Kluyveromyces lactis: one gene and its partner. Each later gene encodes a partner of the first gene's protein in a complex. Links are inferred from orthologs where the notes say so. Each region holds a gene or a part of one and is shown on either strand. Other genes may lie near its edges.

The links. Proteins that work in one complex are often made in the same cells at the same time.
Region 2: POP7 (region 1) and POP8 share a complex: the UniProt entries of both Saccharomyces cerevisiae proteins name them as parts of the nuclear RNase P and RNase MRP complex. The link is inferred for Kluyveromyces lactis from reciprocal best matches to the Saccharomyces cerevisiae genes POP7 and POP8.

The regions. Positions count from the first base shown.
Region 1 is NC_006041.1:2,187,597-2,189,978, reverse strand, and holds POP7 (ribonuclease P/MRP protein subunit POP7), read right to left. Parts: upstream 1,074-2,382; coding exon 663-1,073; downstream 1-662. Other genes in the region: KLLA0_E24685g (uncharacterized protein), read left to right, coding at 30-584; PEX32 (Pex32p), read left to right, coding at 1,316-2,382. UniProt on the Saccharomyces cerevisiae protein: Component of ribonuclease P, a protein complex that generates mature tRNA molecules by cleaving their 5'-ends. Also a component of RNase MRP, which cleaves pre-rRNA sequences.
Region 2 is NC_006041.1:923,422-925,762, forward strand, and holds POP8 (ribonuclease P), read right to left. Parts: upstream 918-2,341; coding exon 501-917; downstream 1-500. Other genes in the region: DNA-(apurinic or apyrimidinic site) lyase APN2, read left to right, coding at 1-435; PEP1 (type I sorting receptor), read right to left, coding at 1,280-2,341. UniProt on the Saccharomyces cerevisiae protein: Component of ribonuclease P, a protein complex that generates mature tRNA molecules by cleaving their 5'-ends. Also a component of RNase MRP, which cleaves pre-rRNA sequences.

The DNA.
Region 1 (2,382 bases):
ATCTGAGGCAAGAGAAGTGATACAGTGTTATGCTTCGAAGAATGTCAGAACTGGTTTCGAGTTTTTCTGGCCTTCACATTGCTTCGGCTGGTTCAAAATCGGTTGTGACTCCAAGTGATAATGCGGACCTTACAAAGGGTGGTAGAAGGAACCAAGCATTGACAAAACCGATCACCATCGATAGTAATACAGGAGAGGTACTGGTTAGGAAAACAACAGGTAAAACGAAAGTAAGAAGAGGTCAGAGCGCGGAAGAATATAAGGAACAACTTAGACAGTATTTCTTGGAGGAGAAAGGTCCAACGAGAACTGAGGAAGATGCCTTGAAGATGGAAGATTTTGATCTGTTGATTGAAGATGAGAGTTTTGACTATGCATTGAAGCAAGTACGACAGAAAATGGTCTCTTATGCTCAGAAATATTATTACGAAAGAGATTACATGAAGTGTTTAAAAGTATCAGAGCCGTTATTGCATAAGTTCGAGCCGTTCAATAAGAAAAACAAGATACGCAGAGAGTTAGAAGAACTCAGATACATGATCGAAAAGTCAAAAGCAAGGTTGGAATTGCAACCGTCCCGCTAGTATTTGATATGTCTACACTGAAATATCTATGTAACTCTATATTAATGTGCGCTTCCCATACTAATATTGATTACGCAATTATACAGGACTTATACGCACTTCAACACCGCTCAAAGTACGCTTTGTCAGTTCCGTTTCCCTGTCCTCTGTTGAAACCTCATTTCCATCTTCATCTTTACCATCATCAGCGAATACCTCATCCAAAACATCTAATGTCTTCGTTAATATGTCAACTTTGTAATCACCCATTGTATTGAAGTGTGCAGCAACTGATAGAGTTTTGAAAACAGCTTTACCCATGCCCAGTAGTGTAATGTATTCACTTTTACGTCTATGCAGGTTGGAAAGAAACCTGTTGGTTCGTTTCACCACGGAAATGTAAGGCGATGAGCTCTTCACGTAGATTGTAGTTTTAATTTTATCATGAGAAAACGTCTTCACTGTCGGAAGTTTTCTTCGTAACTGATTTAAATCCTTAGTATTTCCCATAACGTGGTGTTGTAAGGTTTTTTCGAACGCCCACGAAGCAGATTGCTTCTCTTGTCTTCTTAGAAAAGCCGTTTCTCTTGTTCACTTCTTCAGGCCAATTCAAAATCAGAGACTTTAATTAAAAGGAAATATAGATTACAATACCGATTGTGCAAATAACAAGTAAAGGGCAAGAAAAGAAAACGGCGTCTGGATAAGCTCAAAATCGGTTATTAGTGCATACAATATTGTTCAGATGTACCATGAGCAACAAGAAACTTCATGTCAGATTTGTTTCTAAATCGAAATCAGTTAATCCCCCATATAAACCACAAGACTTAGAGCCCATTACAATTGCATGTCTTTATAGATTATATCCTTGGCTCCTACTGCTGGACCAGTTATTGGATAAACTTATGTGGCATATTGACGATGTTTCCTTACAGTTGATATATATTATATTGCTATGTTACTCAACAGCGTTGGTTGTACCGAAGAATACTTCCTTACTTTTCCAAGCGTTTGATATATGGTTGGGGTACACAAGCGTATTCATTCTTGCTGGCACTATGTTTTATTACAATTATACGCTATGGAAAGAGCTTGAACAGAGCGAAGCACCCACAATAGATGAAATCACTCATACTTTGGACTCTGTTCTTGAGAAGCTTAAAACGGTTCAAAATGAAGTCCTCGGTACAGACAAGGTAAGAAAACTTACTAATATCAATTCACAAACCTTTAAGATAGTGGCTCTTCTGACAGTAATTCATTTAATTACCGTTAGTTTTTTGGATGTACGAACATACTCAGTGCTTGTCATTAGCCTTGTCTCCGTGTTCCATTCAGTGTATTACCAGAGCACGATGAAACTCCTATGGAGGTATTTGTGGATAAGGCGATGTTACTATTATATATGGGACAGCGTACCATCGGAATCCAAACTGGAAACCAACTTTCAACAATACAAGGTGATTTGTGAGAGTCAAGTCATTCCATTCCCTAAATCTCTACAAGGCTTGAAGGGCCAAGAGCTACAGGTTCAACTACAAATGTTAATCCTTCAGGATCCAACTAAGATTGATCCAGAATCCGATTACGTACACGTCAAGATCATCGAATACAACGTTGATGAAAACGAGAGAAAATGGAAGCAAGAGGGCTGGACCCCAAAATTGCTACCTTACGAAAGAGCTCACTTCTCTAATTCATTCACCCAAACTCCATCTGTAACACCATGGAAGTTCCACGAAGAACTACCTTCCGATTGGATCTGGATTGAATCTACTTGGGTACCCGGCAGCTGGCAATACTGTGATGCAAAATGGAA
Region 2 (2,341 bases), about 1.3 Mb from region 1:
CTTAAACATGAAAGCTTCAATAAGCCAAAATTTGAGGCTGCCACGAGATATTTCTTGAACCATGGGAACATTTTAGATATGTTCCGCAAGGCCAATCGCAAAAGCACCAGTCCTTCCACGACAAGCACGGGCAAAGTAGTAAAACCACTGAATGTCAAGCAATATAACGGCATGAATGCTCTGGCCTCAGCAACAGTTTCCAAAGATCAAAACAAAAATGTATCGATACAGCCTCAGTCGCGCGTCAAGAGTGCACATATGAAGGCTTTCGAGGAAATGCTTGGAAAAGCACCAGTTTGTGAACATGGTGAAGAAGCTGTTCTTCGAGTCTCTAAGACTGACAAAAGCTTTGGTAAAAAGTTTTGGGTGTGCAATCGATCAAAAGGCGAAAAAGATGATCCAGAAGCATCTTGTGGCTTCTTTCAATGGAAGTAATCGTTCTTCCGTGTTCCACCATTCTGGGTTATTATTATTTTATGCATCAATATTTATGATTTAGTTTATAATCTTTCTTTTTCTTTGGATTCAGCTTCTATCTCGGCTTCGGATTCTACCAATTTCTTGAACCATATTCTATCATCCTCATGAACGGTCAATCCGGACAGGTTATTGCTTTGTTCGAGCACATTTATTATTAGTGAGGTACCGACCAACTCATCGCTCGCTATGTAAGTGCTTATGGCAGTAGTAAAAATATCAGTATCATTGACGCTTACCTTTGCAATAGTATCCAAATTATCCACGTATAATAATTCGTACTCAATTGCTTCGCCAAATACACCGTGAGATCTTTTCAAAGCTGTATTCAACATTTGAAGCCAAGTTACTTTATCCACTTGGATCTCATTGTCTTTTTCCGAATCATGCGACGTTACCTTTAGTTTAAAATAAAACCATTCTGGTTTGAACTTAGCCATGTTTGTTCCTTGATCCTTTTCGAAAAGATGAGAGATTAGACAAACTCTGAACACATACTACCGGAATCGAGCCGACATCAATATTCGCTTCTCTTGTATTGTTAGTTATTCTTATCCAGGTTTAAATTTCACATTTTCACATTGAAAAAGGTTTATTCAAAGATTAACTGATCAGAAAGACTGAAAAAATTTCAAGGTATGACACTCATATATGCCTCTATGTTTACTTTATAAAGATTATAAGCTGTTAGTAGTGAACTACCCGAAAGTTAAATTAAAATCCATTTTCTATACGAAAATTATGTATAATGTTAAAGAGTTCGAGTATCTTCAAAAACATAAACTAGGTAAGTGTTGATGTTTTAAGTTGACTCATGAGGATTCGCTTCCTCTGGGTTATCAGAATATGGTGCATGGGTTGGTGTATCAGATGAGAGGTCAACTTCTTCGTCGTTACCGATTTCAAAATTACCCTCATTCTCGATGAAACTTGCAAGATCGTCAGCATCTTCATCGTGTCCAACAAGTAAATCATCTGCGTCATCTAAAAATTGATCGTGTAAGAGGGATTGATAACTTGGACCTGTTGTGTTTCCAAATCTGCTTAAGCCTCTCTTGAAGAAATTCCCCACTTGGTGTCCGAAATATTGAAGACCGGTGTAAACATTAGAGAAGAGGAACACTCCGTTTCTAAGAACTGTGTTTACAGCTCTATCGGTATTGTTCTCTTCTATGAGGTCATCATCTCCTAATCTAATTTCACCGAAACGAGCAAACCCACCATTCCTCTTTATACCTCTATAATAAATGAATGACAGCATGCCAGTGAATATCAGAACAGCAAAGATCCATATTGCTAAGAATGATGTATGGTTTACTTTATACTTCTCTTTGAACTCTTTCTCTTTTCCTGGACAAGGGTGAGGACTATCAGAGTTAGCGAGCATCAATCCGCCATTGCAGGTAGAAAGAGCGATCTTTCTATAGCCAGTTGGTTCGAAGTATTCGATTAAGGAATTGTCTTTGGAGCAGATGTCTTTAGGATCTGCTGGTTTTAAGCCATCGATTAACTTGCAAGTACCATCAGACACACGCATGAAATTATAATCACATTCATAGTCATTTCTGGTACAGGAACAGTTTGCAAAAATCCTAAATTTATCTTCGAGAGGTGCCATGCCGACATAACAATCGTCAGACTTTTTACGTAAATATTTTGCCTTGTGTCCAAACAAGCACTCCTTGGTGTTAGGGTGACTTAATGAAATATATTCGAAATCTTTTAGATCATCTTTCGAATATTGACATTGACGTGAAAACATGTCCACAAAGTCCAACGTATAAGTTCTTGTTTCTTCGCCACGAACATTTACTGAGGATCCAATTACTAAGAATCTCATTGCAGAGTCTCTTGGGACAGTGAC